3 linked regions of the Oryzias latipes genome follow. The protein of the gene in region 1 interacts with the protein of each later gene in a pairwise test. Links are inferred from orthologs where the notes say so. Each region holds a gene or a part of one and is shown in the gene's direction. Other genes may lie near its edges. The genes, in order: 5'-AMP-activated protein kinase subunit beta-2, E3 SUMO-protein ligase PIAS2 and stx19.

The links.
Region 2: the proteins of 5'-AMP-activated protein kinase subunit beta-2 (region 1) and E3 SUMO-protein ligase PIAS2 interact in binary tests that used the Homo sapiens proteins (3 or more experiments, as listed by UniProt). The link is inferred for Oryzias latipes from reciprocal best matches to the Homo sapiens genes PRKAB2 and PIAS2.
Region 3: the proteins of 5'-AMP-activated protein kinase subunit beta-2 (region 1) and stx19 interact in binary tests that used the Homo sapiens proteins (3 or more experiments, as listed by UniProt). The link is inferred for Oryzias latipes from reciprocal best matches to the Homo sapiens genes PRKAB2 and STX19.

What each region holds. Positions count from the first base shown.
Region 1 is NC_019875.2:22,984,266-22,994,427, reverse strand, and holds 5'-AMP-activated protein kinase subunit beta-2, read left to right. Parts: upstream 1-3,843; 5' UTR 3,844-4,165; intron 4,166-5,633; 5' UTR 5,634-5,649; coding exon 5,650-5,808; intron 5,809-5,878; coding exon 5,879-6,036; intron 6,037-6,135; coding exon 6,136-6,229; intron 6,230-6,850; coding exon 6,851-6,965; intron 6,966-7,055; coding exon 7,056-7,189; intron 7,190-7,309; coding exon 7,310-7,378; intron 7,379-8,019; coding exon 8,020-8,097; 3' UTR 8,098-9,323; downstream 9,324-10,162. Other genes in the region: calcium-binding mitochondrial carrier protein SCaMC-1, read left to right, coding at 355-536. UniProt on the Homo sapiens protein: Non-catalytic subunit of AMP-activated protein kinase (AMPK), an energy sensor protein kinase that plays a key role in regulating cellular energy metabolism.
Region 2 is NC_019867.2:30,478,671-30,488,732, forward strand, and holds part of E3 SUMO-protein ligase PIAS2, read left to right. Parts: intron 1-1,120; exon of another isoform or gene 1,121-1,157; intron 1,158-1,267; coding exon 1,268-1,440; intron 1,441-2,222; coding exon 2,223-2,310; intron 2,311-2,379; coding exon 2,380-2,430; intron 2,431-2,949; coding exon 2,950-3,040; intron 3,041-3,110; coding exon 3,111-3,245; intron 3,246-4,480; coding exon 4,481-4,586; intron 4,587-4,670; coding exon 4,671-4,744; intron 4,745-5,425; coding exon 5,426-5,586; intron 5,587-7,249; coding exon 7,250-7,383; intron 7,384-8,300; coding exon 8,301-8,487; intron 8,488-10,062. UniProt on the Homo sapiens protein: Functions as an E3-type small ubiquitin-like modifier (SUMO) ligase, stabilizing the interaction between UBE2I and the substrate, and as a SUMO-tethering factor.
Region 3 is NC_019879.2:17,536,393-17,546,521, forward strand, and holds stx19 (syntaxin-19), read left to right. Parts: upstream 1-3,916; 5' UTR 3,917-4,211; intron 4,212-6,441; 5' UTR 6,442-6,490; coding exon 6,491-6,712; intron 6,713-7,090; coding exon 7,091-7,327; intron 7,328-7,596; coding exon 7,597-7,809; intron 7,810-8,851; coding exon 8,852-9,088; 3' UTR 9,089-9,467; downstream 9,468-10,129. UniProt on the Homo sapiens protein: Plays a role in endosomal trafficking of the epidermal growth factor receptor (EGFR).

The sequences.
Region 1 (10,162 bases):
TTGTAACCCTTGTGCTATCCTAGACACTTTAAATTTGGGAGTTGGGCCATCTAGACCCACTAGACAGTGCTCTGAACCTTTTTTCTTCAATGATTTGTGATCTTCACTGGTGTCCATGGATCACATGAAATCTTTCCACCTTTAATCCACCTTTGTCATGGTAGGGAGAACACGTCAATGTAAGGGTGGGGTCATCTAAGATAGCACAAGGGTTAAAAAATCCATTGCAAAAATTAGGAATGCCTATGCACCAGCTATCCTGTTAATGTAAACTGTTAATAATTATCCTGCTCCACATGACTAATAATAATCAATAATCACAAACCAGAGTTTAAGTTTTGTATTTCTTTTCAGCATCTCTGGGTTCGTCAGAGCAAGTTTCCATGACTGGCCTGTTGAAGACGATTGTAGCCAAAGATGGCTTATTTGGACTCTACAGGGGCATCCTGCCAAACTTCATGAAAGTTATTCCAGCTGTCAGCATCAGCTATGTGGTTTACGAGTACATGAAGACAGGCTTGGGAATCTCTCATTGATACTGCATATGACTACAAAGAACATTCACTGTATTTATAAGACTTGAAGATGTAAGAAAAAATTCTAAAGGACCAAAAAAAAAGCTAACAAAGCATGATTTTATTGGTGGATGGAATGAAAGCTGTATGTGTAAGACTTGCCTGCCAGTAGTTACAGTATATTTTAAATCAGTTGTGGTGCGCATGCTTTCATTTTTACCTCGAGGTTGCACATGAAACACTCCTTTCCAACTGAGTCTTAAACAATGTTTAATCCATACAGTTCTATAGATATAAATAGTTTAAGAGTCATTTGTTTATGCTGCGTTTCTATTTTAAAGACCCACTCCGATCATCATGTGAGATATTTTGAAAGTGTTCCAAGTGTAACTATGACGTTTTTAGCCAAAAACAAAAAACCTATCGTATTTTAGAACATATTTTCTGCAGCACGGCAGTGGTTCATTAGAAATTCCTCTCTAAGTTGTGGGCAGAAACGTTAGTTCGGAGTGAGCCTGCCCCCATTTCCCCACTATTCAGCTTTTTACACTCTCTCCCTCGTGCTTACAACCCCTCACACCCCCAACCAAACAGTGGTACAAGAAAAATGAATATTGGACAGTTTTGAGCCAGATGCCAGGTTGGATGAGGAAAACAAAGACGTACATGGACCTATTTGTCTTTAAGTGGCTGTGTTGGAATGGAGCGGAGCCGGGAGCTTGTTGCCTAGTCATTGTAGTTTCTTCGTAACAAATGGTATCTTTCTTTTTCATCTGTTCCTAATTCACAACAATTTAAATTTAGAAATACTCAGAAATGCCATTTTAAGCTTAATTTGCTGAATTTAAGTCCCCCATCATCAGAAAAATGCCACTAGAGCCTGTCAAAAAATACCATTTTAATTGGAGTGGGTCTTTAAGCTTGATTTTAAAAAACTGTGACACAGCATTACTTTAGTTAAAAAGACAGACATCTTTTTGTTGCAGAGTTGGTTGACTCTTGTCCTTTGCTGTGTTTGCTATGAAATGTGAAAGGTGACACTGAGTTTTAAGCCCAGAGGCACAACTGAACCCTTAAGTTTCAAACACCTTCCTTAATGTGACGACAGAAACGCAAAGATCTAATCAGCAGCTGTGAGCTTAAGCCAACTGGTCCTCAAAAAATCAATGTGTTTCACGACACACCTTCTTGACATGTGAAAATGACTAACTCTACATTCTTCTGGTGGTAATTTATGAAATGTGCCTTAAAGCCTCTTGATGCAGACCGTGAACATGATTTTTTCAATCTTTATAAATATATGCTGTATTTATGTACTAACTATACGAACAGGATTTCGGTTATTCTATTTATTGAGTTATTGATGAAACAGTGGTAAATGGTCATTGCATTGAAATTCCTGATGAGAAACACTCTCATGTGTGACTATTTTTGCAACCCAGTAAGACCTTAGTAAGACCTTAAAACATGGGTTACTCACCTGTTCAGGTTGGTGCTGTGTTTAAATGTTAAAGCTAAAAGGTGGGAGGTTTTCTTTTTTCTTAAATTTTTACTATAAGACTGTTATTAGCCTTTTATGTTTTGTTAAAAAATGCATTTATGAATATTTAAAGAGTTTGACTGCTTTGGCTTTAGTTGTTATGCATATTTATGATTTGCTCTTGATGTTGTCAGATTTTAGGTATTGGAACTTTTTCCATTGCAATTAGTAAATTTGACCTTTTATTGATTAAACAGTCCCCATGAAATTCTAAAAAAATAAGTTATTTGGTTTAAATTATCTTAGGAAATCCTGTAATTATATATCTTAAGGCTGTAAGGATTTAAAGTACTTTGCTTTGCAGTTTAGTCCTGTTAAAAAGATTATACAGAACTATCCATTTTGGTGATTTTAAGTCTGCAAGGCTTTAATGCTAAAAGAAACAATTTATGTATTTTTTCCCCTTTTTTTTCTTCGCCCATATGAATCAGGTTGAAAACGCCTCAATTAGTAACTGCTTTACAGCAAATGTTGACCAATCAGGGCTGTCTGGTCTTTTAAGGAAAGGAGGCTTTTAAAAAATAAAAGTAAGAAAATAGCATCATGAAAAACATATCAGGGGATAATACTGTCATGTATCAATTTTTTTTCTTTTATATTAAAGCATGTAAAAAATTTAGGCAAATAAATTCATGAATATCAAAAATGAACATCAGAAATATGGTCTTTCGTTAAAATTTAAAAATGAGTGACAGAATAAAAGTGTTTGGACATAAATCCATTGATGTTCTTAACCTGCTGTATCCCTTTCGGGGTCACAGAGTCCCCAGAGCCTGTCCCAGCTGTTGGGCGAAGGTGGGGTACACCCTGGACTGGTTGCCAGTCGGTAATGGAGCCACACACTCATAGCTACACTAAGGGACACTTTAGACTCACCAATTAACCTATAAAGCATATTTTCGGACTTTAGCATGAAGCCAGGGTGCCTGGAGAAAACCCACACAGAAAGGTCCCAGCTGGTATTTGGACAAGGACCTTCTCGCTGTGAACTAAGAGCACTCACCGCCACAGTACAGCCCTGGACAGAAATACGCTCACTAAAAAATAAACAAAATTCAATTTCTCAGTTAATGTTGTAACTTAAACTTTTTAAAACATTTTATAAACACCCGCAACCAAAGCAGTTGTGATGTGATAGGTGAGCTGATATTGTAGTAACAAATTGCTGGGGAGGGGGGGGGGAATCACACCTTATCATTTCCACAATGTCATTTAAATCATTTTGTTTACCTTGATGGAAAAAAAGCTATGATAGAATGAAAAATGCCAGGGATGTCAACTCAGCTGTTTTACCTAAAATACAGTGTATTAAATTAAGTAATTACAACCCCCCTAAATAATTAATCACTTTGAATCGAGAGTACACATAGACAACAATACATATTAAAATGAATGAGAAACACTTATGCTCATTGCATTAACGTCATTAAATGACTTAAGTAACACAATAATTTGTATTTTTTTATGCAAATTAGGGTAAATCTTTTTTTTATTAAATAAATAGTATACTTGATACATCTATATGTTACATTTTATAGTATAAAAATGTCTTTTAATTTCATTTCATTTTATTTGTAAAAAAAAATTACATTGACTAAATTGTACATTATTTGGATAATTTTACTACAACCACTATTAAGAAGAGACACGACACCAAATAAAGAATTAATTACATTTATTTAAGTATTTGTAAAATTTCATAAAAATGTTTTTTTTTTTGTTTGTTTGTTTACCGGATGTTGTTTTTGTCGCGGCTGACTGCTTTTTTTCCTTTACCGACCGCCGTAGTTGTAAAAAGGGGAGGATCTTCGCTGGTGTCACAGACTTTCCTGCTGCTCTTCAACACAAATCATCGCCTCAGCAGCGATAGGCCGAGCTTCTAACCCTTTTCGGTTCTTTTAAATGACTAAAAACAACAACAAGTACTCTATCAAATTAGTTAAATTGTTTTAGTTGTTATTTACACAGTGAAAGGAGTTCCCGGTTCGAAAGCAGAGTGACAGCTAGCTAGCTGCTAGCTGACTTTAACAGCGACCAGCAGCTAAAAATATTCACCAGGACAGTCGCGAGGTAGGCGGGCACAGCAAAAGCGTCCTGCGCAGTTACCACGGTAGGTTACAAATAGTGTGTTTTGTCATACGAACTAAGCTTTTTATTGATTCGCAAGTCATTCGGTTGTAGTTAAAGCAGATTTTCGAAGGGACCCATCTGTGTCCAGGGAAGTTCACTGATAGTTCATGATGCTAAAAATACCTTCTAAACGTGGGTAGGTTAGCTGTTGTGAATATTTTTATTTTCTTTATAATCTAAAGATAAACGTATCGTTGTTTTCCACATCATTAGGCTGTTTTGTTTTTTGATTGATTTATTTTTAAATATGACTCTGGATCATCCTTAGTTCTAAGAAGAAAAAAACAACAATCACAACTGATGATTTGATGTTTTTTATAGCTATAACTTTAACTCTCACGAGTAACACAATTTTAGTTTATTTTCTGTAAAACCAGAGTGTGACATATGTGAATGTCACACAATGTGACATAAAGCGAAATAGGATTTGCTGTTTGTTGACTAAAGCCAAGGCTGATCAGTGTTCCATGAATCCAGCAGTGTCACGGTGAACCCACCAGTCTACAGTGTTCAGCAAACACCTGCGCCTTTGTAGTAAATAGAAGCTTTTGTGCCCTGAGCTTTTAGTTTTTTCTTTTTTAATTTGATCGTTTATCTATGTTGTTCACTGAAACCTCCTACTATTTTATCCTTTAAAATTAAGACATCTTAGCTTGTAAACTAATTTGAAGTGATGGACTTGATTATAGTGTGAAAGGTTTATACTGCTCATTTCTATGTAGGGGGAGGGGGGATCAGTGTCTCTGTGGGGACGTAAAAGGTGATGCTTGTGAAAACAAGCACCATCATGTGATCAAAATTCAATTAGAAGTTGTATTCTCTTTTAGGTTTTTAGTAAAAAGTACATTTTACTATGATTATTATAGAATAGTTGCATGTCGTTAACTTAAACCAATCTTATCAATGTTTTATGATACAATATTTTTTAAAAAGCTTACTTTGGTACTTAAGCAATTTTTGCCTAACATTACTTTCTTGTAATTTCTTAGTAATATGAAACAAAAGTTATCCTAGAGTTCGCTTAAATCAGATCATCTTTACAGAGTTCACTTTTTTTTTAGCAAGGGAGTTGAAGTCAGTCTGGCTCTTTACTTGGTTCAAATTAATAACTGAAAAAGGAAAAATAAGGAGAGGAAAAACTGTCACCAGATGCATTTACATGCCCTTAAGAAACCGAGTGAAACTGTGTTTACAGAATAGTTTCAAGTTTGTTTTTTGGCATTAATCTGCTCAGTGAAAAACAAGTTTTTCAGAAAAGACTTACATTGTAAACTGTTTGAAAAGACGACAAAAATCCTCTATGAAAGCAGAAAATAATAGAAAGCATCTGATAAATATGAATAATAAATATCCTCAATGCAAACATGAATGAACATTTGTCATAAAAGTGTTATAAATAATGGTTTAGTTCCCACTTCAAGAGTTTCTCCCCCCTATATTTTGCACAGTAAGCAGTGAAGCATCATGGGTAACACAAGTGACAGGGTATCTGGAGATCGGCATGGAAACAAGGCCCATCGTTCCGACAGCAGCGGCAGCCACAAAGACCAGGAGCACAGCACCAAGATGGTGGACAGCACAGATGATCCCAACATCTTCAACACCTATGGACCTGAGTCTAAAGTAGGAATCCAACTACTTCACTATATAATCTCATTTCTTTCATATTATAAATATTTATGTTTGCTGTTAGGGGCTAGGAGATAAAGAATTCACCCCGGATCTGGATGACCTGGTGAAAACTGCCTCCCAGGCCCGTCCCACAGTGATTCGCTGGGGTGGTGGGGGGAAGGAGGTTTATATCGCAGGCTCTTTCAATAACTGGAACACTAAGATTCCACTGAATAAAAGGTAAACCGTTGGTTTTACATCAGTTATACTGGTGTCGAATGTGTTTTGAAGTTTTGTCATCGTTTTAATATTGTTTGCTTTTTCTTTCCCTCCTCAAAGCCATAATGACTTTGTTGCCATTTTGGACCTGCCTGAAGGAGAGCACCAGTATAAGTTTTTCGTGGATGGACAGTGGGTTCATGATCCTTCAGAGGTACCCGAGTCATTTTTCTGTGCTTGTAGTTTTTGTGGAAAAAAGTTTGAGCTCTGCTGGTTTCTGGGTTGCAGTCAACATCAAAACCTAAAGGATTAACTGAAAGCGTTAACAAGCTAATTTGCTGGCAACAAGTCATCTTAACTGAATATGAAGTAACATGGTTGAAGCAATAGGAAATGTTTTCTTGGAGTATAAGTCAGTAAGAACAGATTTTAAGCTTGGCATTGGTCAAAACTTGTCAACTAACCCATCTAAAACAGATTGGACAGGATGGTTCTGTATGTTTTATAATTTCATTTTTAATTGTTTTTTTTTACCCCTTATTCATGCAAATATTCATTAAACAACTTCTGCTTCAAACTTACCTTAATCTAGCATCAACTTAAAAAGCACAAGCATTAGTGAAATTGTTGGGAATAAATTGGGCCGTCAGGGGGTTAAGTCTGTAAAGCACTTTGTTTCACTGTAGAATGAAAAGTGCTTTATAAATAAAGTTAATTTGTGTGTTTGGTCTCTTCATTTAGCATTTGGTGCTTGTCATAGCAGTTGTGTTTTTTTTTAAGGTGTTAATGTTTGACATGTTAGATGATTAACTTCAGGATCGTTGCTGTTTTGCAGCCGGTGGTAACCAGCCAGCTGGGAACGATCAACAACCTGATCCAGGTGAAGAAGTCTGACTTTGAGGTGTTTGACGCGCTGCAGGTGGACTCCCTGGAGTGCTCGGACACATCAGGTGCGTCTCCTGTGATAGATCTTGTTCTCTTGCTGCTCGCCTAAATAGATTGGTACATTTTCGGCCTTGAACACATCTTCATGTCTCCAGACTTGTCCAGCTCGCCTCCAGGTCCGTACGGACAAGAGCAGTACATCTTCAGACCCGAAAAGCACTTCAAAGCCCCTCCGATTCTCCCCCCTCACCTGCTTCAAGTCATTCTTAACAAGGACACCAACATATCAGTCAGTGTTTTACGTTTTCTCAGTGATTCATCCTTTTACTGTCAATTCCGTCTGCTTCCATGTTGCTGTTGTTTCTCTGAACAATAATCTTTGTGTTTTTTTTTGGTCTCTGCACTTCAGTGTGACCCTGCTCTGCTGCCTGAACCCAACCACGTCATGCTAAATCACCTTTACGCTCTCTCAATAAAGGTACATTCACTGTTACAATGTTGCTTTTAGACAGAATTTTCCATTTAAATTGGAAAATATATATATATTTTTTATCTGCCTCTTTGCCTCATCTTTTTAGTTTTCCTCAGTGTCGCTGAGTTGAATTTTGATCGTGACAGTTTTGGTTCTAGTTTGTCTTCATTTAATTAGCCCTGGACTGCAAGGACCTGATTGTTTTTACAGTTCTTCTTTCTTACTGCATGTTTTGGTGAAAATGTCACCCCTGCCACATTCTCAAAAACTCCCCAAACTTTGCACACGACACCTCCACCTCCAAAAAATGATGACATGACAGCAGGCGAAACTGTCAAAAAATGAAAGGAGGCAAAAAAAAAAAATCAACAAAACCAAAACACACGAGTCGGGGCTATCCAAAGGAAGTTTTGAAATTATTATTGGATGGCCACAGAACCATGAGGAGTATGAAATTAGGCGTTTTAAGTCTGCTACCCAAACCAAAGTGTTGTTGACCTTTGACCTTGAAAAGAGGCAGCTTTTTTATATTTTCCACAAAAAAATGGGCGGACGATGCAGTTTTAACTTTGTATTATTTTTGCAATTTCTTTTCTTCCAGAGTTGCAGCTCTTGAACCCTTTTGTTTTTTTTTTTCTTCTGTGTAGGATGGAGTGATGGTGCTAAGTGCTACTCACAGATACAAGAAGAAGTATGTCACCTCTCTGCTGTACAAACCCATCTAACCCGTCTTCAGATGCTCAGAGAGAGCAGCGTGTTCGTTTTCTTTTCAGTTTGCCATCACTTATAGACAGGAGTTGCACTGAAACATGTTTACAGGCTGCTCCAAAGAAAGCCGCACTTCTACACAGGGCTCTGAACAACGGTACAGGGTGTGGGGTTTTGGTAAAAGAAGACAACTCTACTACGGCTTTAGCTGGTGACATCTCCTTGCCGATGAGCCTGATTAAATCACTGCGTGGTGTTTGTATGTTTTCACATTTGATTGTGTGATTGTAGTTTTTAGATGACAGTAAACGGTCTGTTTTTTTTGTTGTTTCTGCTGCGTTTGCGTTGTTACTTTTTTTATGTCGCTCGCTGAATGTAAACAGAACGACAGGTGACCTTTTGTTAAGGTGAAGTGCAATAGTGGGTCATGAAATCATCTGTGAATTCTGTTTGAGCCAAAGGCTTGTATTCCTGTTTTTGTTTTGGCAGCCGTGATGCCCAGCTTAGTCCAGAGCTACAGTTGTAGCCATTTCTTTTTCTTTTTCACTAGTAGCTCTTTTTTTTCCACACAGGAAGTGGTCTAAAGTCTTTGCTTAGCTGCTGCTTTTATTCTGATGAATGTTTGTAAGCATTATCGTTGATACAAGCTATAACTATGCAGTAAGTAGCCTTTGCATTGTATTGTCTTCCATCTAATTAGTGTGTTCTCACATTTGTCTGCTTTGTTAAAGAAAAACTATCGTACTGTATCTGTGTGTTACACGTGTGGAGCTGCTTAAAGGTCTGTCTGCGCTCACATTTCAGTTTCATAGATGTTGTGAATACATTGATGTTGAGAAATGAAGAGAACCTAGGAGAGCTTTGATGATGACTGGTTGCCATTTATTTAAATTTTATATGTAAGACACACCCGTGTTTTGGTTCTGAGCTGCTGGTTCCTGCGTATGAATGCTCACAACTCTTCAAACATCAAGGAGAATCTCTCGGAGGTATGTTAGAGTATTCTGTGAATGTTAAGCCGGGCTTTTATTTTCTAAAAGCTCGGCTTTATTTTTTAAAACTAAGATTTGATAAAGGAGTTTGGAAAAGAGCCATGGATCCAGGGCTTTTAGGGCTAAAACCAAAACTTGAATTTTGCAGCTATACTTGATAAATCTATGAAAATGCTTAGCATAAACAATGTGGTAATCCTCTATAGAAGATTGTACTGTACTGCAAATAAATACACTACTCTGATCCTAATGCCACTCTCTTGGTCATTTCTTTTTCAATGAAACAGATTTTCCAAATGGTTGTTTCTAAAGTGCAGCTCTGGTAAAGGGTTTGTGGAAGTGATGGTCTTTTGTGGCATGTACTTCCCTGAATTAATGCTCAAACTTTGTTTAGCAACAATGCAACTAGTTAAAATCTAAAAGATTGAAACTTAAATCAATGAGAAATGAAACGAGAAAACAACTTTTTCAACTGTTTTATTCTCTCAAAGGCCTTGATTTCTAAGACAACACACCAAAATTAGCATTCATGTGTCTTGCATCAGCTCTCGCAGCCTAAAAAGCTTTATATACATATGCAACTTCAAACCAATCAAACATTTCAAATGGTTTTCTTCCCTTTATTTTTATTTTTTAGAAACAAATAGTAAAAAGTTTTTGTTTGTATTTAACAAGGTGACATTTCTCTGTCATTCAGAAGCTGGCTTTTTAGTTTTAGAAGTCACCACATAATGTAACGTTAATTGATTCAAATACTTGGTCTCATTCAAATGCAAATAAAGCCTAATGCGGTAAAACTTGAGGCCATTTGAACCACTGAAGCTGAAGAAGCTCTAAGACTAAATTCTGAAGGCAGGCCAACCAATTTTATTCGGAGCTATAAATGATTGCTGTCATATATGGGTATATATATCATAAAGGCATATTTGTGGAGATCACACATAACCTACTTGACTAAATATCGATCATAAGTGTCAGAATCTATTGAGAAACACTGCAGGCGAGCAGCAAACACGCAGATGTTTTTTATCCACGTGAGCACTTTTTGTTTTCAGCTATTGCACGGCTACCCAGATGATCAACTTTGCAA
Region 2 (10,062 bases), on another chromosome or scaffold:
ACAGCTGGGCTCCCACCGAATGTTTGGTTTTTGTATTTTATGAACTGGATGTTTACAGACTGGTTGTTTGACTGCTTAGAGCCTGGTTATAGAAGGCTTATTTCCTGTTTTTTGGTTCTTTATCTGACTATTTACCGGCTGGTTATTGTGGTTAAACCTACAACTGTTCTGACTCTGTTTACAACTTGAACACTGGGGCTTTACGGACCTTTTGGGGTGATTGTCACCCTTCAGTTGCCTTTATTCTTTAGGTTTTGTTCCGGAATTGACTTATTTTTTATTTTTATATTTGTTTTTTTGAACAGACTGGTCATTCAGCTTTTACTGACTGCTTACAGACTGGTTCAGTGATTGGTTACCTGTTCACAGGCTCTTTTGTAGTTACTTTTGCACTCTTAATTCTTTAAAGAGCTTTTTATACCCTCAGGAGTTTACTTACTTTGCTTATTGACTTGTCTAAAGCAGATTTATCTACTAGTGAAGATTTGCAGCCTGGTTATAGGGTGTTTGTTTCTTGTTTATAGAGTTGTAAGAAAATGATGACAGTTTACAGAACAGAGAGAACTGTGCTTCTAGTAGGGATGTAATCCATAGAGAAATGCTTAAAACATTGATGGAGTTAGAAATGACCAAGCTCTAAAATCTATCAGGGAGTAAAACAAAAAATCGGTTTCTTTGTCTGTTACTCTTCCTGTTGAGCTGAATACCTTCATACCTGAACAAATTGATATGACACCTTTTTTTAACCATAGGAAAAAGGTTCTAAAAGACTCAGACTCGTAGGCTTTAATGTTTAAAGCTGTCGCTTCAAAGACATTTTGTTGCTAAAAAAAATAAGAGTTTCTCTGTTAAAAGGCATTTTCATTTTTATTTTTCAATGATGACTAGATTGTATCCATTTAGATAAAAGTTAGTTGCATCTTTTGTGATCGATTCGTGTACCGTGTTATATTAGTGAATCATGTGAGACGACTCTAGCAGAAAGAGTCAAGATGTCTGGATTCTGTCGTCATGCAGTAGAAGTCTTCCAGCTGCAGCAGATGGGCTCAGCTTTAGACGCTTTACTGGCTGCTCCCTGGATATTATCACTTTTTTAACCTTTATTTTACCATCAGGTGGAGATAACCTGGTTTGCTTCTGTGCCCACATCACCAATGGTTGGTCCTATTGGTCCTGGGTGTGTTAGGGGCCGTCCTGGAGCCCACCTCAGCACCTCAGGGCTTGTGTAAGACTGTGTTGTAGTTTTTGTGTAACTGTTGTGTTTTAGCAGGAAGCACCCCAGTACTGCGGACCTGTTGGATCACGTGTGGCCCCACGCAGAGATCGCCATGAACCTGCAGCAGCCCTCTCCCCTCATTCCCCCCGTCCACCCTGATGTGGAGATGAAACCCCTCCCCTTCTACGATGTTCTGGACGTCCTCATCAAGCCCTCCAGTCTGGGTGTGTGATGTTTGCAGGGCTGACAGATGAGATCCGCTCTGATCTTTATTCCAGTCAGACTCCACAGAGACCAAACCAGGACGATGAGCTATTGGTTTCAGAAGAAAACTTAACATCAAGTTCTAAATCCCAGTAGGCAGCACCAGCCTGTCAATTCCCAGGCGTAACTCATGGGTAACACAAAAGAGTTGAACAGTTCCTGGCTGACAGCAAATGTTTCAGAGCAGTGACTTTATGTCCCACTTTGTAGAGCAGATGTTCAGTAGCAGTCGTGTCAGAGCAGAGTTTGATGTTTGGTTATATAGTCATATAAAAAAAATACCCCTTTTCTCTGTTTTCTCCATCTGGAATTCAGTAATGTTTCTTTATTCCCGATCAGTTACTTTATGGGATTTCATTTTCAATTTGGAATTATGTGGCTTTTTTTAGTCTGAAAAATCCAAAACAATCAAACGTTTCTTTGTGTTTCACCTTTGAACTTGGATCAGATGTTTTCCTATTTCAACCTTCTTAAAGCTGATTAGTTCCATATACTGTGGAACTTAAATCCTAGACTCTGTGACCCCCCCAACACACACACACACACACACACACACACACACACATACCTCGTAATGAAGTCCCTTTTCTGTTGGTGACTCCAGAGCTCTGACTTCGTCTAAAGGGTTTTGTCTTCACAGTGAATTATTTTTTAGACATCCCACCATGGCACTACCACCTCCGTGCTTCATGGTTTGATGGTGTTCAGGCGTTCGCTGACAGGGCGTGTTGTGTGTCTGCAGGAGTAAGCGCTGCACAGAGGTACCACCAGGAGAAATACTTCATCTTTGCCCTGACGCCGCAGCAGGTCCGGGAGGTTTGCATATCGCGGTGAGTCATCTTTGGAACATCGGCTACGTGACTGAGAGCCCCGTGACTGATTGTTCTTCCTCTCCTCAGGGACTTCCTACCTGGAGGAAGGAGGGACTACTTAGTTCAGATCCAGCTGAGGTAAGAAGTTTCAGGTTTTTATCATAATCTGCAGGTAAATGTTGCCATTGGGGTCCTCTGGTCCAATTCACAGTTCAGAATCAGAAATCTGCAGGATTAAGCACTCCTTTCAGCCAATCACAGCTAATCAGATCAGAAGTTCAGGGGGATCACAGCTGATTCGGAGAGGTTCTGCTGGGATCTTCACTCACCCACAGAGTCTGCAGATGGAGCAGAAACTGTAGCAGCGCTCTGTGAGGAAGAGCCTTTAGCTGAAAACGCTTTTACTTGAAGGGAGTTCTGGTTATCTGACAAGCATGTGTGGAAATGAGAGAAGACTGGAATCGCTTCGTCTAATTTCTCTGAGTTCCCAGACCAGGACTGCAGAGCCTGCGTTCGGGCTTGTGGCCTCCGCTTCGGCTGCAGCATCGTTTCCTCTGCAGATTAGTTCCATCATATGATCTCCATGGAGAAAGCCGACTTTGATGACGTGACAACCGAGCAGAGATTTCAGTTTCTGACTTCCTGCTGTGTGCTCAGGTTCTGCCTGTCGGAGACCAGCTGTCCTCAGGAGGACAACTACCCCAACGGTCTGTGCATCAAGGTCAACGGAAAGCTGTTCCCTCTGCCTGTGAGTACTCAGCCCCGCAGAACGTCAACCCTCTGAGGAACTTCACACCAACTGATCCAGCCTCTCTCAGGGTTTTGCCCCACCCCCGAAAAACGGCGTGGAGCCGAAGAGACCAGGAAGACCCCTGAACATCACGTCCCTCGTCAGACTCTCCTCCGCAGTGCCCAACCAGATCTCAGTGACATGGGCGCCGGAAATCGGAAAGGTGGAGCTCTTCTTGTAAAGTGTGATACTGTGGAAGTTTTTGTCATGTTATTTATTATTATTTCTCTGGTTTATCACATATTGAAGGACTTTTTATGTAGTTTTTGGTATTATTATTTTTTTCCCCCTGTATTTTCCGGACTATAAGCCGCTACTTTTGTAATCAACTTTCGACCCTGCGGCTAAATCAATGATGCGGCTAATTTATGCTTTTATTTAACGGCCGCCAGGAGCCCTCCAGCAGTCTCAGAGGGGAGACTGCCTGCATAATTCTACGTCCAGCAACAAGCGCGATGGCTTTAATACACACACGAGCGGCCAAACAGCATGGACCTCACTTCAGTTGTTAGACACTATAGTCATGGTGCAATAAAAGAAAAACCCATGCTCATCCTTTGGTGCCATTAGACCCAACGTGCACGTGACCGCCATTACAATATGACGCAGCTTAAAAATCCACCATCACCAACGGGTTTGGAAAAGTTGGTCTGCTGCCTGCCAGAAGTTTCCTTCACTGTTGTGGCTGTGCCGCGCAGAGCCACATAGAATGTGTGCCGCGCAGAGCCACGTAGAGCACGTGCCACGCGCGCTTATAAGTCATTGCTGCTCTCTTTTACTGGTATGTTTTTTAACCAGCCCTGTTATTTCCACATTGGTGCCGTGGAAGGAAGGAAGGAGGGGAGAGCTGCTCTCGCGTTCCGCTGCAGCTCCCTGCTCCTTCTTAAACACGCACTGGTTTCAGCACATATACATCCTCAATCTACAACACAGTGTGGCGAACCGGGGGTTAGCCCTGCCTTAAACCCCTAAGACTCATGGGAAGTGGGGAATCTGAGTGTGAAGTTCCACACCATAACTGAGGGAGCTGTGAGCTGAAGTGAGCTCCATGCTGTTTGACAGATGTGGGTGTGTTCAAACAAATAGGCTAAACTACTGGTTACTCCTCCGTCTCTGAGACTGCCGTGGTCTATCAATAATCGGGTCAAGATAATCAGTGACGCATCAGCTGAGTCGCCATGACATGCGGCATGAATACACATGTGACTTGTGTATATAAATAGTGGTTAATCCTCATTAAATTGGGTGTGTTGTAATTAGGTGCGCTCTATAGCCTGGAAATTACGGTAGTAAGTTATGAATATCTATCTATCTAGGTGAGCAGATGTGGTGATTGGACCGGGTTTGCTTGCACCAAAGTCACGTCCAGAACTTTAACGCGTAGCTTTTCTGTTTCAGACCTATTCTATGTCGGTGTACCTGGTGAGGCAGCTGACATCGCCGCTCCTGCTGCAGAGGCTGAAGATGAAGGGCATCAGGAACCCAGACCACTCCAGAGCTCTGAGTAATTCTTTATTACTTTCTGACCTGTCCTGCGTCGTCTTTGTCTCCCCTCCTTGTCTGACGCCCCCCTCCCTCTGTGTTTCAGTCAAAGAGAAGCTGACGGCAGATCCAGACAGCGAGGTCGCCACCACCAGTCTGCGGGTGTCCCTCATGTGCCCTGTAAGCCGATCCCAGTGTCTCCACTGAAGGGCCTTTCTGATTGGCTGCAGTGAATGTCAGTCACCCGCAGCTGGAGTCTTTAACCTGTTTAACTAGAGATGGTAGTCTAGTTAGTGATGTAAGCTGGTGCAAGCAAAGAGCTAAATGTAGAAATAGAGGTTTTTGTTCAGCGCTGCAGCCAGATGAGTGATTTCCTCACAAAGCAGCTCCTTTGTGTGACCGTAGATGTGGGATCAGTGGTTTGAGTTCCGGTCTTCACTTCCACTGTCAGCATCTTACTGGTTTCTCTGTTTCTGGTTCAGCTCAAAGGGAAATTACAGCAGGTCTGCGCTAACTCTGACATGCCCTCTATGGGATTACATGATGCTGACAAAGACTCAACTTTTTTCTTACCTTTACTTTTTTTTGTGTGTGATCATGGTTCCAGCTGGGCCAGTCCTCGGCTGGCAGACACCCAGGACTTGGTGATTCTTTTGCTTTTCTAGGATTGTAAACTGAAGGATCTCTTGGCAGAAGGAGGTTTCATCAGCCTGTGTTGAAAGTCCCACTCCGATCCCCTTCTGATCTATTGTCAAAGCGTTCCCGGAGGTCTTTTCCTGAGCTCCTCTGCCTCTCTGGGTTGTGCGGTTCTGCTGGTCTTGGTTCTTCTGCGCCTGACTCTGCTCCCGTCTTTTCTGGCAGCTGGGGAAGATGCGTCTGACGGTGCCGTGCAGAGCAGTGACGTGCTCTCACCTGCAGTGCTTCGACGCCGCCCTCTACCTGCAGATGAACGAGAAGAAGCCCACTTGGATCTGTCCCGTCTGCGACAAGAAGGCTGCGTATGAGAACCTCATCATCGACGGGTTGGTTTTCCTGCACACCTTCATCTGCAGCAGCTCCAGATGGACGTGAGCTTACAGGCTCACCTGATTCAGTTCCCCGTCCTGTTGAAGCACGCGCTTCTCATGGGAATGTTTTCCATCCTGGCATTTCTCGCCATGCCCAGGTTTTTCTGTGGTTAAACGAGTGAACGGACTCTGCAGCATGTTTTCATTTTGCGTCATCCACTGAGAGCCATCAGCCAGGGTCCAGAGCTTTAGCCCCGCCCAGCGTATTTTCTACGTCACAAACACTATTTTAATCAAACTGGGATTTTGTCTGCTCCTCATTCACGACGATTTAAACACAGAAATATTCAGAAATGCAATTTTCTTTATATTACTTCCTTATTTGTCTCATTGGGTTTAATACTTGTTATTATATAGTAAAAATAAAATCATAAAGATCAGGAAGACATACAATTCAATAGGTAAATTCTAAACAAACTAAACTAAACTAAACTGGGGATCCCTCCTTCTTGGTAAGGAAAGACTCCCAGAGAAACACCTTGGTTTTTTAGGTTCAAATTAAAGAAATTCACTTTATTTCACTTTGTTTATACAGGCATCCTTAGTATTATTTATGAACAGGAATATCTTGAGTTCAAAAATGTCAATAGTGTTTTTTAAAGTAGGCCTCAATAAGCAAATGTTATGATGTGATGTGTATTTATTTGTGTAAATACATGTTTTGAAGTACTCAAAGATTTTCAGAAGATTAATCATTGGCTTTTATATTTATGTTTCTTTTTGCTGATCTGAAGAATAATTCAAACCATATATTTTTATGTGTTGCACCTCTAGTAAAACAGCATTTTCCTTGGAGTGGGTCTTTAAAGGACTTAGATTATGCTGTTCTTAACCTTTTTTATAGTAAACATATCCGTGTATGTGATCATATAGGACCTTTGGCACTACAAATGTTTATTAAATATTTCCAGAGTTATTTTCCGACCCGGAAGTAAGACGACTCGATCTCTAAGCCCCGCCTTTCTCTCCTTGTGGGTGCCGCCTATTTCATGACGTCATCTTAGAGCCTCAGCTGTGTGTCTGCGTTTCTCCAACGAAAACTAACGAGATCCCAACTTTTGTAAAGATGGATGATCACATATTACGTATAAAATTAAAGCGTTCTGACTCGGATTCTCACTTTGTGATGTCACAATGTGCTCGTTTTTGTGGGTTGGGAGGGGCTGGCGCTTAGAGAGCAGGTTTTTAGAAGAATACTCAGAATCGCATGCATGGATCAAAGTTCTGCTTTGGGGATGTTTATTGTGAGGAATAAACATTATAACACACTTACAAAGTTTAAAAATTAGCATGACATAGGCCCTTTAAAAGACTGATGAGTAAAAGTGGAGTCACTGTAGGTTAATTACGGTGAGAAATGGATTCATGGATGAGTTTTACTTCTGATGAATCTGCAAAGGGGTTTTGTTTTTAACAAGTTTATAAAGACTGTTGTCCTGTTGGAAGAATATGAAGATCAAAGGGACTTTTCTGAGGATCAGCTCCCCGATGGTGTGGAGGAGTTCATTAGTGATGGGGGGCCAGCAGGACTTGGAGTCTTCTGTTCATTTCTGATGGACAGCAGACCCTCACCACGTATGTGTTCTTGTTGACGCCGATGTCTCCTTTCTCGCTCCAGCCTGTTCCTGGAGATCCTCAACGACTGCTCAGACGTGGATGAGATCAAGTTCCTGGAGGGTGGAACCTGGTGCCCGATGAGGCCAAAGAAGGAGGCGCTGAAGGTTTCCTCTCAGCCGCCCGCAAGAGTAGACTGTATGTACCCCCCCGTCTTCCGCCTGTACCCCGCCCTGGTCTGTCAGAAAGTTTTATCCCGTTCTTTAAAAAATCTGCCAATGGGGTAAGAAAAAGGGTCTGACCGAGAATTCATGTTTCCTCAAGATTGTTTTACTGTTACTGAAAAACCTTCATGAGATTATTTTCCTTGCAAGGCAGAAAATAAGACAAATGTTCTTGAAACCAGAGTCTTCTTCACTCCTGGCCTCCTGGTGAAGTTCCTCCATGTCTGGTTGGCTGATCTTCACCAGCTAATCAATTGAAAATGTACACTTCTGTTTGTACTCCACCGGAAAAAATAAAAGTCCTTTCTGTCACATTTATAAAAGAAAAACAAGACGACTAATGATTTCAAATAAGAACAATGGATGTTTTTTCGTCTTTTTTCCCCTCCAAAATCACCAGTGGGTGACACGTGGGTTTCAGACCCCCCCACCTCAGGCGTCTCCATCAGAAGAGCATCTCTGCTCTTATTTATCCATCAATGATGAATCTTCAGCAGCAGTAATGCAAACTGTCTGCATAAACAAATATCTTATTTTTGTCTCTGATGTCTTTTCATTTATGCAACACGGTAAAAGTTTGGAGCGTCATGGAGGATTCCTGCTTTATTAAAGCGCTGCTGAGCTCCAGAGAACTTCACCGTCTTCTGATCTGACTTTCTGCTTTCCACGTTCGTTCTCCTGATGAGACAAAAAATCTCTCATTAACACGGACCTTTATGGAAAAGTGAGGACGAAGGAGGATTGCAATCAACATTTCCGTCAGTTCGCTCATTTTTCATGAAGAATTGGTCCCACATTTGTGGAAAAGCAGCTCCTGGACGTCAACTTTCCTTCTTGAAGAAAGCTGCTGCTGTTCCTGGTTTTGTTGATTCTCTCCCTTTTCCCTTTCAGCCTTCACGCCTGTGCGGCAGCCGGCGGTGGTGGCCCCCCCCGCAGAGCCCAGCTCCACCAAGAAGGCAGACGTGATCGACCTGACCCTGGAGAGCTCGTCCTCAGACGACTCGGACTCGGACTCGGACCCTCCTCCGAAGAAGCAGTGCGTCTTCATCTCCAAGAACGGCGACATGCACGCCAAAGGGTGAGCAGAGTCTCATCTGGACACGAGGTTCAGATTTGCCCCCAGGAATTTAAAAGCCAGATTAAGAAACTTCTTCAAACGAGCTTTTCTCATCAGTTAGATTAGAGGAAAGACGTGTGAGTTATTCAGGGGAGTCAGCTCCAAAGTTCAAAATTCTGATTTTACGCCAACTACATGCTACATGCATGTATTTGCTATGACCAAGTATTAGAGCCCCAAAAAACTAACAATAGAAGAAAAAAAGTCAATTTTACAAGAATAAAGTCGTAAAATTATGAGGAAAAAAGTCAACATTTGACTAGAACGAGAAGGAGCTGCTTTTCCAGAAGAAACTGAAGGCTTGAAAGCTGTATTGCTGAATGAAAAGGAAACTTAAAGGGTAATAATTGGCAAAAACATTAAATAAAGAAATAATCAAAGTTAACCATAAATAAAGTGAAAACAGCACAAGAACAAAAAATATATTTTAGGGAAAATTGTATTTCAATGGAGGCAGAAATCCTGAAATATCTTGAAAAGTTCAAGGAATTGAAGGACTAGAAGTCTTGGCTGGAAAAAGCTGAAAGAGCTGAACATTTAGTTGAATGTTTAAAATAGATGAAAGGTTGTTGGCGGAAGATACTATAATAAATAAAGAGAAACAGTAAAATAATACATTTGTAAATTCGTCATTTTAAAAATTGTAATATTAAAAGGAAAAAGTGATGCTTTTTAAAATAGTCTTAATGTCATAAAGTTGCACATCCACAAAAATGAACAGCAGGTTCAGCCCGTCTATCCCATATTTCTGAACATAAATTAACCAGATAATCATTTTTCTCTGTTAAAACACTGTAATGGCTGAATTTAACGTCTAACTTTTGAAAACGCCTGATTTTTTCCTCGTAAAACGACGTCTTTTTGAAGCATAAACCTATTCTGAATAATCGTAGCATTTCTTTTATAACAGTACGACTTCTGTCTCATGTTTCTACAAGTTGACTCTCCTAAAGGTTATACTTCTAATCCCATAATTTAACAACTCATATTTGTTCATTTTTCTCTTTTTATGACGGTCGGCCCTAATACTCTGTCGTAATTTTCTATTCAGGAAAAATGTTTTTTGGTGGTTGGACCACTGATGGACAAAGCAAAAATGTCATTTTGTGGGCGGAGCCTCTCTGTTAAACATTCCACATTCACTAACCCTAACCCGGGTCCTGATGCTGATGGCAGCGGCGTCCCTCATTAACGTTTACGCTTCAGACTACAGTCACACAGTCATTGTTGTCATCTCCAAAATGAAAGCAGTGTTTTTACCCTCAGATTCTCCCTGACTTCCTCCAGAAACACGAAGGTCTGAAAGCAGCAGCTGCAGTTCATGAAGGGATGAAGAGTCACCTGTCATGAGCTTCTGCTGTGTGTGTGTGGGGGGGGGGGGGGGGGGGGGCATGTTCTAGCAGATACGACCATCAACCTCTTCACTTTCACGAAGCCTCATTTTTGGGGCGGGTTGGTCTTCTTCTCCCCCCATTCTCCAAAGTTGTAGTCCACGGACCGGTACCAGTCTGCGGGACAGTTATGAGGAACAAAACA
Region 3 (10,129 bases), on another chromosome or scaffold:
ACCTTTTCAGGGCACACACCGGATTAATGTCAGACAATATTTTCACCAACTGGCCTGATGTGGGTGTCCTTTTTTTAAACCTCCAGTTTCATTTAATTTAATTGTATTTTCAACCTCTGCAAAAATATCTGCAGCTGCTTTAAACTTTATTTATACACTAAATTTGAAGTAGGAACCATTAAAACGGGATCTAGCAGCCTTCAGCCTCATCCAACTATTAAGGTGCGACAGATGAAAACAAAATAAAAAAAGTGGTGTTTTCCAAATAGAATAGTAAACACGAGTCCACTATTTAAACAATTTTAATAGCAACATCCTTCTAACATTAGACAGCCGGTTGCTGGATATTATGCAGAGCAGATTTGATGTACAACTTCCTTTTTGTCTGAAGTTAAAGGCTCTTCTGTTTCCTCACTGGCTCTTTTCTGTGAAAAAACATTCCAAATGTGTTTGTTTTTTGTTAAATATGCTAGCTTAAGGGTTAAAATTAGCAGTGAGCGCAGAAAGTAGAGGATGTATTTTTGACACGTGACCAAGCAACTTGACATGAATCAAGAATGAGTCGGATGTAATGGAGAGACTCCAGTACATTTTTCAAAACAATCTTCCCCTGCAGCCTGGTACCAATTGTCCCATGGACCAGTATTAGTCAACAGCCCAGGGGTTGGGAACTGCTGCTCTAAAGGATCTGGAAAAAACACTGGCCTTTCAAGGACATCTTGTTAAATTATCTCAATGGTGTTTTGATTATGATTGTGATGTGTTGAACCAAAATCACAACCTGAGATGTCTTAAAAAGACATATTTCATGTTTATCTGAAGCCTCTGTTTCCAAAATCTCCTTTACTGTGTGACTGTGGGTGCTGAGTTGAGGAGCTCCACCCTTGAGCCACTTTTCTTATGATGCCAACTGTGTCTTGCATGTGTGAAAACACAGCCATCAAGGGGCCAAATGCGATTTGCACGACAGAGATGGCCAATTTCATGTTAAGTCAATGCTACAGATGTAATCTGAGGTCCTTCTGCACATTTCGAGCTGCGGGCCAGAGTTAAAAAAGCTGAACTCTGGAGAGGTTGCAGCGTCAAATTAACCAAATCAAGGACTCAACTTTGGGCATGTGTCATTTTCAGTGAAAGCGAGTAGAATACACATCCAATATGGCGGATGATTCCGATAGTTCTCCTGCACTTCCATCCATTTTCTTAACCTACATTGTCCCTTTTAGGGCAGCAGGGTTTCCAGAGACTGTCCCAGCTACTGTTGGGTGAAGGCTGGTACACCCTGGACAGCCTGTCTTAAGGCCCATGGTGGTGGAGCGATCGCGATGACAATGTCAGCTTCCGGGAGACGAGCTGGCAGCCCAACAGAGAGCCGCTGCGGGACGGGGAGCCAACTTGCTTGGGCCTCCAGAACTTTATGATATTTTTCTTATTTTCATCGAGGCAATATTAAAAGAGATTCCCTGATTTTATTTTTGTTTTTATTTTTACCCTCTGGTTAGTGCGGGACATCAACCCTTCCAACTCTGAGAGGGAGCACAAATGTGGAGACATTTCACGCACCTAGGTGAGTGATAGCTAATGGGACTCTAACTTTAAGTTTACATTTAAATACGTACAGCCAACAACAGCGAAAGTTTGACTGACAGCTATTTAAAAGTGAAATACTCAGAATGCAAAAAATGAAAATATTTCCTATTACATTTGTTCTTTTTCATGAGAAAAATGCCACACGAACAAATTAAAAACTAAAAAAACACGATTTTCATTGACCATCTAATATAGTAGAATGCACTTTCTAGGATACACTGTTTGTCTAAACTCAGATGTGAAGGAAAGTTAAGTTAGAATTTGGGCTTTTCATAATATTCCTTATTTCACAATTTAAACAATTTTTAGTCTGTCACTTCAATTTCTTTTTCTATTCTTCTTAATTTTTTTAATGCCATTATTACCTTTAAGTTGCTTCTTTAAGAAGTTCATTTTAAGGTTATTACTTTTTACAAAAAACAGCAGAATTATTTTTCCTTATTAGGTATATTTTCAAAGACGCAATGGAATGTTGGTTAGTGAATAAAGTGTACGCTGAAGTGTAATTAAAATCTCAATGACCTCAGTCACAATATCACAGACTTGCAAGGGGAACAGATAATTTCCAGGTCATCGATTGTCTCATTTTAGTTTTAAAAGACACTGACCCTTGTATCAATCTTTTCAATTGGCTTAATGACCATGCTTTTGACCCCATTATCCTTGCCCCCCTGACCATCTCTATCACCTTACTCATTTATCTCCTCTTTCTCATTTTTTCTGTCTCCTGGTGTATAACCCATACGTCATCCCGGTGCTTGTCTTCGTCGAGAAGTCAGATATTACCCTGCCATGTCATGTCATCCTCATATGATGTGAGGTTTCTCTGCGACTGCTGATAATTTAGGTCTACTCCATAGAGGAGTGTTGCTGTTACCAAGGGCCTTGTAGTAGAGAGAAAAATGAAATTGACAATAGATGGTCTGAAGGTGGTGGGAATGGATGGGAAAAGGTGATGGGAGATCTGTGAGAGGAACTGCTTGGCAAAAAAAGAAACGTTACAAACTGCTCTTTTGAACAGCTGTTATGTGGGATTGTTACAAGTTTACTACATAGAAATGGTTTTTCGAGTGTTTGAATTAACTAAAAAAGAATCCTAGTCAAAATTGATTAATCCTGGTAGCCATGTTTTCATTGGAAAAAAAACAAAAAAAAACATCTTCAGTTTATGGGAAATGTAGCTTCCCAAGGAAAGTCCTGGTGGAAGTGATGTGGGGCTGATTTTGTTTCTGAATACCCTAAGTTAATTTAATTTTAATGTCATGTCACATTTCTATTTTTGTTTTTTATTAACCAAACTATATTCTAGCTGTTCAAGATTTACCCATTTACTTCAATTCTTGCTGGCAAAACAAAACACACTCCTGTAATGGTTTAAAAATTAAACTAAAAGGTTATCTTGTTTTTTTACATTTAAAAAAAAATCCCAGTTGTTAGGCACTCTTTACTTTTTTGGACATTGCAGCAGGATTGCCTTAAAAGTATTCTAAAAATAAATTAGATAAAACCTGTTTCCATTGGTTTGCTCAGTTATGTGACATGTTAACAATCGAAGTATAAACAACAAAAATGTATTTATTTTTTAATTGCCAATGAATTCCTGATAAAAATAAATTATTTATTTTAATTATCACAATGTTTCTTTAAAGCTAAAGAGCCAGAATGGAGGGATAAAAGAGCTGCATCTCTGGAGCCTCAGGTTTTTGACTCCTGGTCTTGGGGCTTCTAGTCTTTGAACTACCTTTTTTTGATGATTCGTTTTTAATTTTTATCACAAAAAATCTTCTACTGACATTTGAATGTTTCTGTATTTTGTTTTATATTCAACTTTTTTTTCTTTTAAAGGTAGATATTTAAGGGTTTTCCATAGACTTGAAAAATGCAATGTGACCAATCATTAGTCTTTTGTGTAAATCTTTTCCACCTGATCCTCTCCCTCTTAGTCACCACTGGGCACCACTCTACAGTCATGGTGAGGTGTGTTCTTGAGAAGTCCTAAAAATGTCATGGACTTACAAAGAGGTGATGGTGGTGAAGTTACTGAATTTAGAAGTCACTTTAAATGTGTGTAGCAAAAGAACTTAACCTACAAAAAAATTGACAAAACAAAACAAATTTAAATAGAAGTTCTCTCACTGTATATATTTCCAGTACAGTGGAACCACGTTACTGTTTGGCCTCCACCTTTTACGCATTACACCTCTATTTGCTCAGCTCTGTTTTCTTTGCTAAGGAATACGCCTGAGGGCAGGGTTTGTGATTTCTGTGTCTCTACCTCCTCATTCTCCTTGTCACATCACCTCTCATTTCTATGTGAGAGCAAACCGGTCTCAAATGTGCTGCTTTCCTGGTTGGACCATTCAGTGCTTTCCCTATGAAAAAGGGGCGGAGCTTAAAACCTGACTTCATCAGACTTTCACCCTGCTTGGAGTGTAACTGTCTTGTTAACAGCTAGTGGTCAAACTTTTGAATGGTAGTATATACATCAATATATTTTTTTTTATTCAAAGCTGAAGATCATCAGGTGAATGTGAAGGTGACCTGGGAGAGTTGGATGGCATTCCTGTTCTGAGTTTTTCTTTCCTAAAAGAGATGCCTGTTGGGAAACAAGCAACATTAAGGTAAATTAAGAACTAAATCTTTCTTTTAGACTTAATCTATGCTGGTTTTAGTCAGATATGACTTCACATTTTAGGTTAAGGAATTTCTAAACTTCAAGGCTTTATATTTAAGAAGTCTTTTTTTTTTACTTGACTTTCAAAATAACTTTTTGTTTAAAAGTAGGAGTAGCTTTTTTTAAGAAAATAGAAGCAGACAGTTTATTTATTGATATAGAAAGACAGGCGGTGGAATATACGGGCACTCAGTTCCTACCTGCACAGAAACAAGAGAATGTCAACAGAAGGTTTTTCTTCAGAAACACAGACAAAAGAACAGGTGTATGGCAAAGAGAGAAAAAAATATTTGCGCTTTTTGAGGGAACAAAACCTTCTGTCACACACAAAGGTCAGGCTCCCTGAAGCATGCTCCACTTTTGTCCAGGTTTTTGGGGATAAACCCTGGAGAATGTGCTGCCAAATCCCACCACCAATGTTTTAATCAGCTAATCTGTGCTGAGAAGTACACACAGCAAGAGAGGAAAGTGCTCAGCTCCTTTAAATTCTGCTGCATTCTTTGAGTTCTCACGCATTAGTTCTGTTTACAACAAAAACACATACACACTCATACACGGACACACTTATCTTTCCTGTTTAAAATCCATCCAGGGAGGGGACAGCCTGTGATTTGTAATGCTGGATTTCTTAACATTCACTCTTTTTCCCCACTCTATCACATTCCTTTCAAAGATTATGTCCTGACCCCTCACACTTGGACCCAAGTGAGGTTAAGGCAGATTAATATGTTCAGTATGCCCATGTGAGAGCAGGCAAATTTGTGTTTGAATAAAACAAATTGAAGAGATTTTATTCTGTGATGTACAGAATGGAAAATAAGAAATTAGTTAACAACTTTTTAAAACAAACTCTTTAAATATCTAAAACTATCTAGTAGAATATCATTTAACTACTTTGCAAAGTCTCAATGAAAACCATCTTGTTTTACATGTGACCTAAATGAGATTTCATTATACTTGGTTTAGTTTAGGGTTTTACTGAGTTACCTTGCGTCCTCATTTTCCTTTTATTTTCTTAAGAAACACAAACAACCAAGTTCTCATGGGAAAATGGAACTCCAGTCAGTTTGACCGATGTTTAGATAAACAAGCATTTTCTAGTAGTTGGTTTTCATTTTGCCAAAACAACATCCTTTTATTGCTCAGTCATAACTCCCCTTACGGGTGAAAATCTGACAAATCTTTGTGGGGCACGCAGGTGGCCCGGAGAAACTATTAAAGTTGTAGACAGCTCAGTGAGCCCATATGGTGAAAATGTTTATGCACATTTTTTCCTACGGGAATCCTGTGAGCGTCAGGTCATAGCGATCACTTATGCAACACGTAAGGGTAAGGAAGGGTGAACTAAGTGAGAAGCAGGCACGCTGTACAGAATTTCCATTTTTCAACGTCCCCCCTTGGTGCTGTTAAAGTGATAAGTGTGCGCCCCTTGCACACAGCCTGGCTGTTAAAAATTTGGATATTAGACAATCACAGCATAGTTTGTGTATGCCTACATATCACCGGTACACCCCGTGCATGCACTTACCTGTACGTCATAGGTGCATGTAAATTCCTTTTGCCTTATACTTCATGATACACTAACCAAACACACAACAATGGTACGTCCCATTTTAAGACTTTCCTTAAAGTGGCCGCACTAGCCTCAATGGAACTGCAAGACACACCTGCGCTACTCTACTCTACCTCTATCTACGATCCACTATGGGCCCGGACAACCCAAAAACCTGCAGCACTCGTACGAGTTACCACTGCTTGTACTGATGCTTGTGATTCCATTAAGTAAAACACACATGCAGGTCATATAATCATATTTGATGCAAAGGTCATCACTTTAGACACTTTTTCAGTTTAACATGTTATACAGTTTTTAGTTTTTGTAAAATCTTGGCATACTGCTTCCAAAGGTCACTTTTATTATTATTTATTGGTGTCAATCATTGCTGTATTTGATGCATTTTTCCCTTAATTCTTTTAAATGTACTTTTCTAAAATTTTCCAAGAGAAAAATAATGTTGTTTTGTCTTTTTATTTCAGATTTCATAAGCTAAAATGTACTAGCTAGCTTCTTTTAATATAATTATGTGATTTCCAAATAATGGCAAATCAAAAAAGATTGGTGCTCTTCGTTGTGCTTTTTTTTTCACTCATTGTGCTCTGTTGTTTCATCTTGGCAGAGTGAGTACACACAATAACTTTGTGTCCTGAAGGGAAGACACTCTCAGGATGAGGGACAGATTGCAGGAGCTGCAGCTCAGGGCCCAGGAGTTTTCAGAGGTGGCAAATGACCACGGCAATCATTTTTCAGAGGAGGATGGTGATGATGACTCTGTGGTGGTGGGAGGCATCACCCCACAGGCTGTGGTGTTTGAGGCAGAGCCAATCATTGAAAGTTTCCTGACAGAAGCTCAGCAAATCCGCACTGACATCTCAACACTTGAAACTGAGGTAAAGAAAAAAAAAAAAGAAGTGTCACTAACTTGTAAAAGAGTGTGTGTACTTTTTATTGTTGTAAGAGATTAAACACAGAAAAAACAGGTCCTTTATAAGTCAAAAATCCTCATTCCATTGGCAAATGTTCTTTGGATAGGCTAAAAAAAAAAAATCTCACAATGAGATAGGGGAACTCTTAATGAAACAATTCTAATCACTAACACGTTTTCTCATACTAAGGCTATTTTGCTATTGAAAAACTTTCTTGATTCAGCTATTTTTCTTGCAAGACAGAAAATAACTGTTTTCTTATCAGTGATGCCAATAGATAGGCATTTTTTATAATTAAATCACAAGTTTTTCTCAAAATTCTTATTTTAAAATGTTGCTCAGGTGCTGAAAATCACTCAGGAGCAGAAGACCTTAGTGGCAACCATGCGTCGGTTTAGTGTGATGAAGAAAGAGAGCAGCTTAACACGGGACATCAAGATTCAGGCTGAAAGCATCCATCGCCGCTTGGACGCCATCGCAAAACAAGCCCAAAGAACCGAGGAGCAGCAAGGAAAGGCGGCTGCAGCAACAAGAATACAGAAGACACAGCACGCAGCTCTGTACAGCAAATTCAAGCAGGTTGGGAAAGATTTGCAGCTACTTTGTAAAAGAACGTCTTTCTTTATTTTGTTTATTTCAAGAGCACACTAGTGAGTTCTGAGTAAAAGAGTTGGTTGCTTAATATATAAAGGTATACTGAGAATGTATTCAAGCGATTAAACACTGTAGCTGTAACAGTTCAGTGTTAAGGATGAAGAGGTTTTTGCACAACAAGGTGGGACTGTAAAGCCCTCTCATTCCTCTTCTCTTTTTTTTCCTATTGTCTTTTTCCCTTAACTTCCTTCCAGGTCATGCTCCAGTATAATGAAGGTCTGCTGAGCAAGCAGGAGCGCTGTAAGTACTTCATTATGCGGCAGCTGGATGTATTGGGAAAGGATGTTAAAGAGGCGGAGGTGGATGAGATGGTGGCCACGGGAAAATGGGAGGTCTTCAATGAGAATCTGCTGAATGACGCCAGAATCACACGCTCCCAATTATCCGAGATCGAACAGCGACACAAGGTGAGGGTATCACCGGAGAGTCACTGAACCACGGCAAAACTTAACTTCAAAAGCTGCTGAATGTCCTGGAACGCACTAAATCAATGCATACTTTGTAAATGCACATATTTCTGTAGATCAATAAGAACTTTGTGTCTCAGTTTTCATCATTTGCATCTTATTAGCCATTTATTATTTACCAATCAGACTAAGACATTGACACATTTTGTCTTGGAGTATCTGAGTAACTTCTGTTATTATAGTCTCCCAATCAACAAGTAATAGCACATCTTAAAGTTTGCAAATAAAAGTGCAGGATAGGTTTGAATGTGTGTGTGCATGGAACTGTGACTTTAAAGTGCTTTGGGCCTTCTAAAACCACAGACTCACCGGGCATATGATAGGTTAAAGGTGGGTTCTTGAACACACATTTAGCCCCTGTTCACGCTGGACAAGCAGGGAGGGGCTTCTTCTTATTATTTTACCTCTGTTTACTAGCGCATGTCCACCATCTGCAGTTGGAAGAGGCTTGGAGCGAAAGTGGTACAAATCTCAGGGTTTTTCTTTCACAGCTCCAATCCAATATATGAAAGACTTGGTGTCAATAGAATTCTATTTGCCGCACAAATCTTAAATATTACTTTCTTTTCTATAATCAATTTTCAAACGGTCGACAAGTTTGAATACCTACTTCACTACCAAATCTGAGTCCCTTATTGGTCAAAGTTTGATCCGGTTTAACTTGCAACAAGCATTCAGAGGCTGCTCATTTCGTACATAGAGCCCGAAAACTGTAGTAAAAACAGGAGTAGCTCGGCGTGATAGCGAGTTTTAAACGTGGAAGCCTGAAATGCGCATTTTCTCCTGTTTACATATACTTTTCATTGGAAGAGGTCACTTGAACATGCGGTGCTGAGGGTGGCATGAAGGTAGTTTCAGAAGGTAGTAAAGCGCTTTATACAACAAGTACAGGCCATTTAGCATTTATAAGAAGAGTTTTAGCTAATATCCCTGTATGACAAACATAAAGTGTTTGACCACAATGATTTGTGTAACTTGACAGGAGCTGATAAGCCTGGAGAACAACATGAAGGAACTCCGAGACCTCTTCCTGGACATCTTCATGCTGGTGGAAGAACAAGGGGCTGCCATTGAGCACATCCAAACCAATGTTGAGAGGACACAGGACTATGTGATTGTCACTAAAGAGAAGTTCAAATTGGCAGCCAGGTATAAGAAGAGAAATCCATGCAGGCAGTTGTGCTGCTGCTGCTGCCCTCCATGGAGATGCTGTTTGTGACGTTTGAGCCCCGCCAAATAAGACTGTTGAACAGAGCAACGGGTGAGCAGAGGCAGCCAAGCATTGAAAACAATTAGAGGCAAGAATTGGTATGGGAAGCACTTGTTTCTTTCAAGAGGGTGTGAAGCGTGTGATAATGAAGGGGATGGTTCAGAGAAAGCACCCCGGCAACACGGTTGCTTATTGGAGTGCTTCACTTGCAGCTGACAGAGGTCACAAACAAGGCCACTAACCCTGCTGCATCAGCGAGACTGATCTTTCACCATCTTCCACAAAAGAGACTCATTTTTCTTCCTTCTTCATTTTTTTTTTCCTGTCAGAGGAACTTCAGTTAATGAGTGTGGAATTGTTTCACAATAAATGCACTTTAAAATTTGTATTTTCTCCAAGAAAAGACATGATTTCAATGGATCATCTATTCTAGAGATTGTTTGTGATAAAAAAAATAATTAATCTCACCAGCATTTAAAGGTTTCTGGGCTATGCGTGACGTAAACCAGAGCAGTTGTGACACACGATCGGAATGAACAGTTTACATGCACAACGATCGGATCAAAAATTGGTATAACCCAGCTATCTGGATCGAAAAGAAATTTTGATCCGAACGAGTCTGATCAGGGCAGACTATTCCAAACAGTGTGTTTACATGACGCATTTTCCTTCCGATCAGGCACTCTTTCTGATTACTTTTGCCCGTGTAAACGCAGCTAGTGCGCTGAAACTTTTTTCTTCAATGATTTGTGATCTTCACTTGTGTCCATGGATTACATGAAATCCTTCCACCTTTCTCCACCTTTGTCATGGTAGGAAGAACATGTCAATGTAAGGGTGGGATCATCTAAGATAGCACAATGGTTACATGCATTGCAAGGTTGAAAAAAACTTTTTTTCAACTTTCAAAAAAGTTTATGAGCTCATAAACCAGAACTATAGAATCATTTACTTCTTTTGATTTATTTGAGCTTCCTAGGCAATTTTGAAGTATTGGTTTTGGTAAAGTTCAATGCTGTTGAAAATATTTAACATGAATGTCACACTAAA